Linked DNA regions of Ovis aries. The protein of the gene in region 1 interacts with the protein of each later gene in a pairwise test. Links are inferred from orthologs where the notes say so. Each region holds a gene or a part of one and is shown in the gene's direction. Other genes may lie near its edges.

Region 1 (3,949 bases):
AAACAGTAGCAAGTCCTGATCAAGGGCTGTCTGCCAGGCAATGTTCTAAACATTTTTACATATTAACAAATCCTTATTAACAAATTCAAAATAACCATCCTTCAAGGAAGATACTATTATTTCTCTCATTTTACGGATCAGAAAACTGAAGCACAGAGAGGCAAAGTGACTTGCTCAAGTAGAACCAGTAAGTGGACAAAGTTAGGACTCAAACTCTTTTCTCTGGTCCAGCTAGTCCTCTGGGCTCTGAATCCCAACAATCGTGCCCAGTGTAGCTATCTGTCCGGTCTCTGAAGCTTACCAGCTCTCTGTTACTCTGGCAGATGTGCTATTCTGCTCAGGGGGCTGGACAGCTGTGTCTCCAAAAGGGACATTCAAATAGGCCAGCGGACTCCGCGACCTTGCAGAAGACCCCACTGCTGCTGCTGCTAAGGCGCCTCAGTCGTGTCCGACTCTCTGCAACCCCATAGACGGCAGCCCGCCAGGCTCCCCCGTCCCTGCGATTCTCCAGGCAAGAACACTGCAGTGGGTTGCCATTTCCTTCTCCAATGCATAAAAGTGAAAAGTGAAAGTGAAGTCGCTCAGTCGTGTCAGACTCCACACCCACCTGGAAAACTCCGCTCTTTGTATCTAGAGTCTGTATCTTGATAGGATCTTAGGACCCACCCAGCCAGTCTTTCAGGTTTCCACGTGGTCTCTCCCCTCCTGGAAATAAGAATAAGCACTCAGCGGGACAGACCCAAGGGGATCCCAACAGTCTTGAATAAGTCTTCCTTACCTTTAAAGTAAGTGTCAGTATTTTTTCTTCAAACATGAATTAGTTCATTCATCCTCAGAAGGATTCTATGAGGTAGGTAACCGTCTTCACTTTCACTGGGGAAGGAGGGAGGAGAGACTGTGCCCTCAGGGATGAGACACCAGCTGTTACCACATCTGCAGATTGTACTTGGAGGTTCCCCCAAGTTCTCCTGGCTGCAGGTGGTCCCGTCAGCCCACCTGCTGGGATTTTAACTCGGCGAGATATTGCGCCCTTTGCGACACAAATCTGGATATTCTCCAGCCGCCCGCCACCCCGCCCCCGCCCCCGCCCCCGGCCCCGCCCCCGCCCCGGCCCCGGCCCGCCCCCGCCCCCGTCCCCGGCCCCGCCCCGTAACTACCTGGGCAGTGGCGCAGTGAAGGCTCAAGCAGCACGACGCCGTCTCCTAGATACCGGGCCGTCGTCACATGACCTACTCACGTGACCCCCCCCCCACAGCCCAGCTGGGGTTGGAGCTCTGGCAAAGGGCAGCCGGCGGGGCGGGGCTGGGCAAGTTTGTTTCCCGAGTTCGGAGACCAGGAGCCCCCGCGGTTGTGGCGCAGGTGCTGTCCGGTTGGGTCGCGATGGAGCTGCCAGCCGTGAACCTGAAGGTGGCGATGGGCGGGGCGGGTCTCCCGGAGCGTGTTGGGTATTTGCGCTTTTAGTAGGTGATTTTAGAGGTGAGGATTTTAGAGGTAGAGGACCGAGAATCTGGGGAAAGTGGAGTGGTGGGGAGAAAGAGAACGAACAGAGCCCAGGTGTAAGGAGGTGGGCGGACAGACCATACCAGGAAGACAGATCCAGAAGGCCAGCAGGAAAGACCGAGAGGGAGCTGGAGGAGGGAAGCAGCCGTCTCTTCCCTAAGACCGGTTCAGCTGGGAGCGCTGAGCCCCTGAGGCTCGCTTTGGCCTGCGCGCCCAGAATTTCTCTGGAGAAAGAGGAGAGCGTGGTGGGGAGGGACCCAAGGAGAGCCCGAGGCTGGACTTGGAGGCAGGACACCTGCCTTCCACCGAGAGAGGGGTAAAGCTTTCACCTGGACCCCCAACACTGCCCTTACCGCCTCTCTTGTTGGGAAGATCAAGTTAAGGAAATCAAATGATCCCAGACAGATGGTTTTTCAGAGTTGATAGATTCAACGTCTTTATTTCTTAAGCAACACAGACACCAATAGAATTTACTCAAAAGCAGAATCCCCCAACTTTGCACATTTAGGAAAACACTGTAGGTCGCTGGGGTGTCTTCATTTCCTGAGCTGTAAGAATGCCAAAGGCTGTTCTTCTTTTTCTCCCCGCCCTCCTCCAGCCCAGTGTTTCTTGGCTGGGTTTGCCACTGAGAGGCTGAAGCCTTTAGCTTTGGTCAGAAAGGTTTTAGCCTTGGACCAGACCTGCCATCTGCGGCCTAGGTACAGTTTCCTTTGAGATTGTATGCAGGAGTACCCTCTTATTCACCCTTGACAAAGCATTATGCACCCATGGTGTCTGGTCCTAAAGTAAGAGATAGATGACTACAGAACAATACATCATCCATATTTGGATTATTAGACATGGTCTGTGTTGTGACTTCACGTGGGCACATTTCCTTAATATTGAACACTTGCTTCAGCAGACCTCTCCGAGGCTTCCAGTCAACTGCTGCAGGGGGAGAGATGGCTGTGACAAGGGAATGGGCTTGGATTGAAGGTTTAGCAGGGAAGAAATTTACACGAGGGCAACTGAGGTTCATTGGTATCAACATTCACTCTGTTCCAGGCTGTGTGCAGTTAATGCCGACTACCTTTTCTCTGATTAGAGACTTGCCTAAAATAATTATTAAGGGGGAAGGAGGAAAGGGACAGAGGAGCAGGAACTGACGAGGGAGTGAGCCCTAATTCTTAGGGCGTCTGTGGTGTGCCGGGTTATTTATTTAGTCGTATCAACCTTCTGAGATTTTTGTAGCTGAGCCAACTTCAGCTCAGACCAGATAGGTAACTTGTCAAGGCCCCACAGAGATTAAGTGGCAGAGTCAGAATTTGAACCCATCACGGTCAGACTTCAAAGCTCTGTCTTTTCCTGGCCACCATTAGTTAGGGCCAACTTCTGCTTTGACAGTTAGTGCCCAGTGGGAGGGCTTAGTCTGTTTGTGGCTTTTTTTTTTTTTTTTTTTGGAGAAACTTTGTGGGCCTCACAGGCCACACGTGACCACAGATGTGAGCTTTGCCGGCTTTCACTGCCCACAGTGAAATAGCTGGTCCTTTCTTTGACTTGGGAAATAAAACACCATATCTCTAAGGGTCTTAGCTGCTACCAATCAGAGACAAGTAAGTGCTGAGAGGTCGTGAACAGCTAGGGTTGCCAGGTGACATTGAGGACATCCAGTTGAGTTTGAATTTCATATCAACAATGAATAACTTTTTAATCTAAGTATGAAAAGTGAAAGTCATTCAGTCGTGTCCAACTCTTTGTGACCCCAGGGACTGTACAGTCCATGGAATTCTCCAGGCCAGAATACTGGAGTGGGTAGCCTTTCCCTTCTGCAGGGGATCTTCCCAACCTAGGGATCGAACCTAGATCTCCCACATTGCAGGAGGATTCTTTACAGCTGAGCCACCAGGGAAGCCCCAGGATACTGGAGTGGGTTATCCTATCCCTTCTCCAGTGGACCTTATATCCCAGGCAATATTTGGAACAGTCTAGAAAATTATTCATTATCTGAAATTAAAGATTAACTAGGGGTTCTGTTTTTGTTGTTGTTTTTTCTGGCCTCCCACAGGAGTCTAAGTGGGCTATTCTGAGATCAGAACCCCTTGGGAGCTCAGAAAATGCCCAACCCCCCAACCCTGCACTACCCTTGCCCTCCTTTCACACATTCCTGGGGTATTGGCTCAGTGCCTGCTTGTGCCCAGCCCACCCACAGTAGGCAGTGGTGCCAGGTGAACAGAAGCAGCTGCCCCGGGCCCTCCAGGTAGTTCCTAACCCAATGCCACACATGAGGCAAGTCCTGAGCTGAAGGAACGTCATTGTGAGAGTTTAGAAAGTTCTAGACTTGGGTTCATGAGGGCTTGTGAGAAAAGGCCCTTGGGAGGAGGGTGCAGGGGGTTAGTATAGCATGAGGGTTAAGAATTCCGGAACCTGACTGCACAATAGTCAGGGACTGCCTTGTCTCGGGGCTTCCCAG
Region 2 (3,500 bases), on another chromosome or scaffold:
TTAGATCCCTTCTTGTTCTGAGATTGTCATTCTAGTCGTTATTTATTAAACCTTTTACGCAAAAGCTTTAGAGACAGACTAAACATTGTAGCAAAATTACAAGCCAATAATGAACCAGGATTTAGAAATATAAACTGATCATGCTTTCTTTTAAAGAATCCTACTGTCTGGGAATTCTACAGAAACAGCAGAAGTCACTGAAGGCTCATGTGATGCTGAGATCAAATGCCTACTTTTCTTTTTTCCTCCATACCTTGGCTTGTGGGGTTGTTGATCCCCCACCAGGGATTGAACCCAGGACCCTGGCAGTAAAAGGCTGGAGTCCTAACCACTGCCCTGCCAGGGAATCCCCATACTTTTCTCCTTCTGCCCAGCCCTTCACACAACTGCTTTTCTGTTTGCCCCTCACCTCGTGTGTATGATTTCAGTTCCTTCTCTTGGCAGTGCAGCCTCATTTCACAGAAGAGTCTGGAGACTTGAAGAGTGGCAGAGTTAACAGCCTTAGCATAGCAGACAACAGAGCCATTCTCATTTACCACATGCTGCCTTCCCTGAGGCTGGGGTCTGGGCCAGAGGGCTCCTCGTGTTTCTCTGAGGTCTGGAAGCACACCCTGCAGGGAATGGCTGGGTCACCTGCCGGGGTCCAGCCCCGGTGGATCCAGGGAATTCGAAGCGGGGACGGCGTCAGCGAGGAAGGAACTTATTTATTTATTAATATAAGATTAGATTAGGAAGAAATAGTGTAGTAGGAAAATTAAGTGGAGAAAGAAGGCTGAATAACTTGGCTTATGGGGAAGGCCAATAAAGTTCCAGACAAGGAGCTTGCACCATCTACATTGGGCCACAGGTGCCCACTTGAATATCAGGGGGTGCCCCGCCTTGGGCTCCCCTTCGCGTGGATCTTAAAAGCCGGGACAAGTAAGTAGACATGGTGAGCCGCCCCACTCCAGATGGGAATTCAGCCTGAAATTAGAGTAAAGAGGAGACACGGGGAAAACCAGTCCAGCGACTGGCCCCGTCCTCTGTTGTTCAGAAGGCCTTTTATACTTTTGATAAAACATGGAGATCAATGGATAACACAAAGTAATGCAGCATTAGCAGTCCAGACTCATCAAAACCAAGCTTTTCTCTCTGCATACCTAATTGTATACACAAGTCTTAGGTGATTTACATCATCTTCTGGCCAAAAAGGGGCCAATTAACATTTTACAGCCTTTTTTCTGATAAGGGTTTGTTAACTAGAAGACTTATTTGCGTTGATCTTCCCAAAGTCTGGTGCCACTCTCTGAAAGCACTAAAAAAAGTTATATTCTTACATAGCAAGGACACAAGAGGAGTGCAGTGATATATAAAAAAAGAAGTAATTAACTCAAAAGTCTAGTGTTGCTAACATCAAAACTACTATATATCTTTTTCCATATCCCGTTTACATTGATTAACATCCTCCCAGGTGCCTAAAAGATAAAGAATATGGAGGCCTGGTGGCAGTCATTGAGTCAACAGTGAAAACCCGTCACCGATATGATTTTTAGCTCTTAGACAAGGCTCTGTATCTTAAGATGCTTTAAGCTCTGTGCCTCTTGCGGTTGGGGGGCTGTAAGCAGTTCATAAGCTGTAAGAGGTCCGGGGGAACCTGTTAGGCAAGCTAGAGAGCTGTCAGAGGGGTTTAACTGAAACATCCCTTTCAAACACAGAAGGCTAACGCCCTGATTTGACTTTTTCCAGAGAATATTAGAAGAGTCAAAAAGCAGGCAGATTCTTATTTTTGGGGGGCGGGGGGGTGGGTGCTCAGGAAATTCCAGGGGGAAAACCTGAGGTCTGATTAGCCTTGCCATCAGAGCTCTGCCGCATGACCTTGTCACAGGTGGAATTCCTCACGCTGGCTCCCGGCAGTCACCCTTGTTCAGAAATGAAGCTGGAGGCGGGGTGAGCGCTGTGGGCAGAAAACAGTCCCAGATAGGCTATTAAGGAGCCTCCTGGTGTGCCCAGTAGATATGCCTACATTAAAATAACCAGTTCTCGGGAGGCAGGCTCCAGCTCAGAGCCTTGGCCTGCTCTATGACAGGATCAATAAGGTCCCAGGTGTGACTTTGCCTGTGTGTCTCTCCTGCCCCACCCCACTCCCCACCTAGATAACTGTAGTCTGGCATGGGACCCTCGTGAAGCTGCTCCGGAGCCTCTACACGCTGGGGCTCCCCGCCACCTCCAAGGACCTGCGGTCAGTGGAGCAGGAGGTCCGCTGGCGCATGCGCAGGCTCAAGTACAAGCATCTGGCCTTCCTGGCCGAGTCCAGCGCCACCTACATGCAGGAGCAGGGCTCCCGGGAGCTGCTGGCTGAGCTGCTTGTGCACCTCGAGCGGCGCTGGGCAGAAATTGAAGACGGACGCACGGTGGTGGCCATGATGATGAAAACTGGGCATCTCTCGGAGTCTCTGATGAACCGCCTGGAGGACAAGGTACTAAGGGACAAGAGCCTTGTGGCTTCTGACCATAGTCTGGGGCATGGCACTGGCAGGACTGGCATTTTAGGTAGCTGCAGGCAGCACTTTGTGCCCAGTGGTTCCTTCAAGGATCCAGGGGGTTGCAGAGCCTGAACAAAATTTTAGTTCAGCTTTGGTTAGTGCTTCCTAGAGACATCATGCCTGCTGCCCCCTGCTCTACCGCAGCCTCAGCCCCGCAGTCTAGTCAAATTCAGCCCTGTTCCCGTGGTAGCAGGGGCTGGCCCGGATGACTGCCACAGCAAACTCCGCAGCTCATGGGCCCTGGGTCCCCTGCTCTGGGACCTGGGGATAAGTTTGGCTACGGACACAGTATACCCGGTCTGGGGACTCCCTGGGGTAGGAGCAGAGGCAGGCCCTGCACAGATGGGACCTATGTTTAGTAAGCTCAGGCCTAGTTGCTGTCTCGCAGGGCCTGCACTGCATGGGACCCCTGGCCCTCGGGCCATCAAGCTGACCCCTGCCGGCTGTGGTTGACAGTGCCTGGAGCTGGTGGAGCAGTTTGGCCCTGAGGAGCTGCGGAAGGTGCTGGTGACGTTGGCAGCTCAGAACCGGAGATCGGTACCCTTGCTGCGGGCCATCTCTTACCACCTGGTCCAGAAGCCCTTCCCCCTGACTAAAAGCATCCTCCTGGACCTGGCCTATGCCTATGGTGAGCCCTGTGCACGGGGAGTGAGGCTGGGAGGGGGAGGGTTCTGGCTGCAGCTGTGTCAAATTCAGTGCCTACCTCAACCATGGCAGGCACTGGCCCAAAAGGCTGCTACAGAAACACTGTGACTCATGGGCCCTGATCCTCTGTGCTAGGCCTCAGGGATAAATTTGGTTACAGACACCAAGCTCTTAACTCCTTAAGACCAGGATGGGTGGTGGGGTGCACGTGAGGGCGCAGCCTGCCACTTCTCACCAGTTAAATCTCAGGCTCTGTCCCCAAGGCAAACTCGGCTTCCACCAGACCCAGGTGTTCCAGCGCCTGGCAGCTGATCTGCTGCCCCACACGCCAAG
Region 3 (3,500 bases), on another chromosome or scaffold:
TGACTACTTGGCTAAGTAGAGATGCCTTTGAACAAAGAAACATTTTCTCTTTCTAATAAATAGGAAGCCTAAACTATTAACAGCACCCATATTTATTAATACAGTAATTACTAAAGCACATCTTATTAATTAGTATTATTTAAATTAATAACTATTTAACATGCACCACATGGGAAGAGGAAATCATCAGATAGTCTTTAAATGTCAACTGCTTTCATTAAGTAAATGACTTCCTCTGAAAAGAACTGGTCAGGTTGTCATCGTTTTCCCTGTTGATAGAATTGAATTCATTCTGGAAACTCTTCCTTTCCTCTTTGCAATTGGTCTTCATGCTTAGAAACTATATTAATAGATTTTACATTCTTTCTCCTTAGGTTACATTTATCATTCAGCACTGTAATTTTGAATGAATGAACCTCTAGACTAAGTTTCTGGTACTGATATTATTCATATAAAAGAAAGGAGCAAGTTAACGTAATTAGATATTTGTCCACTGTCTCCCACATTACAAGGACAATAAACTCTATTTGAAGTATAACTAACACTCAGGAAAGTATTCAAGCTGTTAACATAAAACCCAATAAATTAACACAGAATGAACACAACTTGTAACCATCATCTAGATCAAGAAATAAAACATTACCAGTACCTTAGAAGGCCAACCTTATGCCTCACTTAAGTCACCACCCCATTCTCCTTCATAATAGAAACCATTTGATTTCTCTTAACTATAGAGTAGTTTTGTCTGTTCTAGAACTTAATATAAATAGAATCATACTGCATGTATCCTTTTGTGTCTAGCTTTGTTCAGTATTGTATTTGTAAGATTTGTCCATATTTTGTTTCATGTAGCAATAATTCATCATTTTCATTGCTGTTTCATTTTAATATATTAGTTTATTTTCCCATTTACTGTTAATAACTGGTAATAGTCTCCACTACTACAGCGTATTTTTATGCATGTTTGTTGTGTACATTTGTACATATTTCTGTTAATCCATCTGGGGGTAGACTTATGTGTTGCAGAGTATTAATACTTTGTGTTAATTAAAATAAATTAAAACTTACCTTTTTTAATACTAAAAACTAAACTGCACAGTATTCTAAAAATGTGAAGTTTAGTAGTTTTTAGTATAGTCACAAAGTTGTACAACCATCATTTCTAATTCTAGAAGATTTTTATCACCTCAAAAAGAAATGTAAAACCAGTAATTCCCCATTCTTCTCCCTCTACCCGGCCCCTGGCAACGGCTAACCTACTTTCTGTCTCTATAGATCTGCCTGTTCTAGACGTTTCATACAAATGGAATCATACAATCTATGGTCTTTTGTATCTGGCCAGCATAATGTTTAAAGATCCATTCTGCTGTAGCATGTACTAGTACTTCACTCTTTTTTATGGCTAAATATTTTATTTCAGATATCTATCAGTATTATTTATCCATTATTTGGTTAATGAATCCATTCATCAATTGATATACATTTGAATTATCTCCACTCTTTGGCTGTTATAAATAATGTTGCTACAACCATTTGTGTACAAGTGTTTGTATGGACATATGTTTCCAGTTTTCTTGAGTATAAAGTAGAATTGTAGGGTCGTTTGGTAACTCTGTCTTTAACTTTTTGAAGAACTCGACACTGTTTTCGCACATAGCTGCAGCGTTTCATTTTCTTGCTTGGTTGTCATGGCTAGAGCCTCCAGTACCACGTTGAAAAGAAGTAGTGAAAATGGAGTATTGTTTGTTCTTTATATTGAGGGAAAGCTTTTGGTCTTTAAGCATTAAATGGTAGCTAAAGGATTTTCACAGATGCTCATTATCAGGCTGAGGAAGTTTCTTTCTGTTGCTAGTTTAAATGTTTTTATCACAAAGGTGGTTGGGTTTTGTCAAATGATATTCTGTACCTTTTGAAATAATAATATTTTTGTCTTTTATGAGAATTGTATATTGATTGATTTTCTTATTTTGAACCAGCCTTGCATTCTTGCATAAATCCCACTTGGTCAGGTTTATGATCTTTTTTATATGTTGCTAGATTCAGTTTGCTAGTATTTTATTGAAAATTTTTACCTCTGTCTACAGATGTTGGTCTGTTTCTTGAATTGCCTTTGTCTGGTTTTGGTGTCCAGATAATACAAAGATACTTTTGTTTGATACATACTAAATTTTAACATTTTTCCTCCCACAGAAAATGATCCACAGTCTGTTTCTCATAAACTGTTCCGGTGACATATTTCTAGAGAAGCACTGGAAGAGCGTCGTGAGCCAGTCTGTCTGCGATTATTTCTTTGAAGCTCAAGAGAAAGCTGCTGATGTTGAAAATGTACCACCTGTTATTTCAACACCTCACCACTACCTCATCAGTATCTACCGGGATAAGCTCTTCTTTGTCTCCGTCATACAGACTGAAGTACCACCTCTCTTTGTAATTGAGTTCCTACATCGAGTTGCTGACACTTTTCAGGTTGGTTATTCATCAAGTCTTTTGAAGTTGGATTATTCAAGTTAGTTGGAGGTGGGACATAAGTATATTCTTTAATTTTGATATATAGTCTGTTTCCCTGTCTCTCTGTCCCTCTTCTTTCCAACTAAGCATAAGTTCATAAAACGTAAACCTTTTTAATAGGGTATACAAGTAGTACATGTGGCTGCCCCTGTTTTAAGAGAACAGAACAATCTCCTGGTCATAGAAACTGTATTTTTTTAATGTATTATAAATTATGTCATCAGGAAATAATAGTGCCCTCCACATGCAATTCTTTGAATGGCACCAAAGTTTTTATAGGTTATGAAATCTTGCATTACTTACATTTCATTTTTTGTCTTGTCTTGCTTAATGTACCAGTAGTTTAAAACTGATCTGTGTCTTTTGGAGTACCTAATCAGGGAAAATGAAGTTTATAGTTCTTATTCTGTTTTAACATTTCAGTGTACTTTCTGGCATAATTTGTAGTAGGAATTCAGTTCAACCTAAAAATATTAAGAAAATATTGAGAAATCGTATATAGAATTATAGAGGGCTTTTTTCCCTCTGGTTTACATATTTTCAACATCTTAAACAGTGAATTATGCTACTGTAAATATGCCCTTTATAATAGAATAAAAAATATTTAGCAAACCTTTTTCATGCCTTCCATTGTGCAATACTATGTATGTTTTATTAGGACTACTTTGGTGAGTGTTCGGAGGCTGCAATTAAGGATAATGTGGTCATAGTATATGAGCTCTTGGAAGAAATGCTAGACAATGGATTTCCACTGGCTACTGAATCTAACATCTTGAAAGAATTGATTAAACCACCAACAATTCTGCGTTCTGTCGTCAACTCTATTACAGGTAAGGTAAAACAGTCTATTAGGAACTAAGCCATTAAAACTTCGTAAACAATTCATTTTTGCTTATGATCTGGCAGATTATTAAGGTAGTCCATTTTGGCCAGAATTATAGTTAGTGGTAATGTTAAAATGGATATATCAGTATATTTCTTTTCTTGAAAAG

The links. The genes of interacting proteins can lie anywhere in the genome.
Region 2: the proteins of AGTRAP (region 1) and TBRG4 interact in binary tests that used the Homo sapiens proteins (3 or more experiments, as listed by UniProt). The two-hybrid records come from large-scale screens. The link is inferred for Ovis aries from reciprocal best matches to the Homo sapiens genes AGTRAP and TBRG4.
Region 3: the proteins of AGTRAP (region 1) and AP3M1 interact in binary tests that used the Homo sapiens proteins (3 or more experiments, as listed by UniProt). The two-hybrid records come from large-scale screens. The link is inferred for Ovis aries from reciprocal best matches to the Homo sapiens genes AGTRAP and AP3M1.

The regions. Positions count from the first base shown.
Region 1 is NC_056065.1:41,204,312-41,208,260, reverse strand, and holds the start of AGTRAP (type-1 angiotensin II receptor-associated protein), read left to right. Parts: upstream 1-1,149; 5' UTR 1,150-1,224; coding exon 1,225-1,359; exon of another isoform or gene 1,360-1,380; coding exon of another isoform or gene 1,381-1,407; intron 1,408-3,949. UniProt on the Homo sapiens protein: Appears to be a negative regulator of type-1 angiotensin II receptor-mediated signaling by regulating receptor internalization as well as mechanism of receptor desensitization such as phosphorylation.
Region 2 is NC_056057.1:78,192,449-78,195,948, forward strand, and holds part of TBRG4 (FAST kinase domain-containing protein 4), read left to right. Parts: intron 1-2,132; coding exon 2,133-2,456; intron 2,457-2,675; exon of another isoform or gene 2,676-2,811; intron 2,812-2,978; coding exon 2,979-3,150; intron 3,151-3,198; exon of another isoform or gene 3,199-3,333; intron 3,334-3,430; coding exon 3,431-3,500. UniProt on the Homo sapiens protein: Plays a role in processing of mitochondrial RNA precursors and in stabilization of a subset of mature mitochondrial RNA species, such as MT-CO1, MT-CO2, MT-CYB, MT-CO3, MT-ND3, MT-ND5 and MT-ATP8/6. May play a role in cell cycle progression.
Region 3 is NC_056078.1:29,219,160-29,222,659, reverse strand, and holds part of AP3M1 (AP-3 complex subunit mu-1), read left to right. Parts: intron 1-2,190; 5' UTR 2,191-2,193; coding exon 2,194-2,466; intron 2,467-3,166; coding exon 3,167-3,338; intron 3,339-3,500. UniProt on the Homo sapiens protein: Part of the AP-3 complex, an adaptor-related complex which is not clathrin-associated. The complex is associated with the Golgi region as well as more peripheral structures.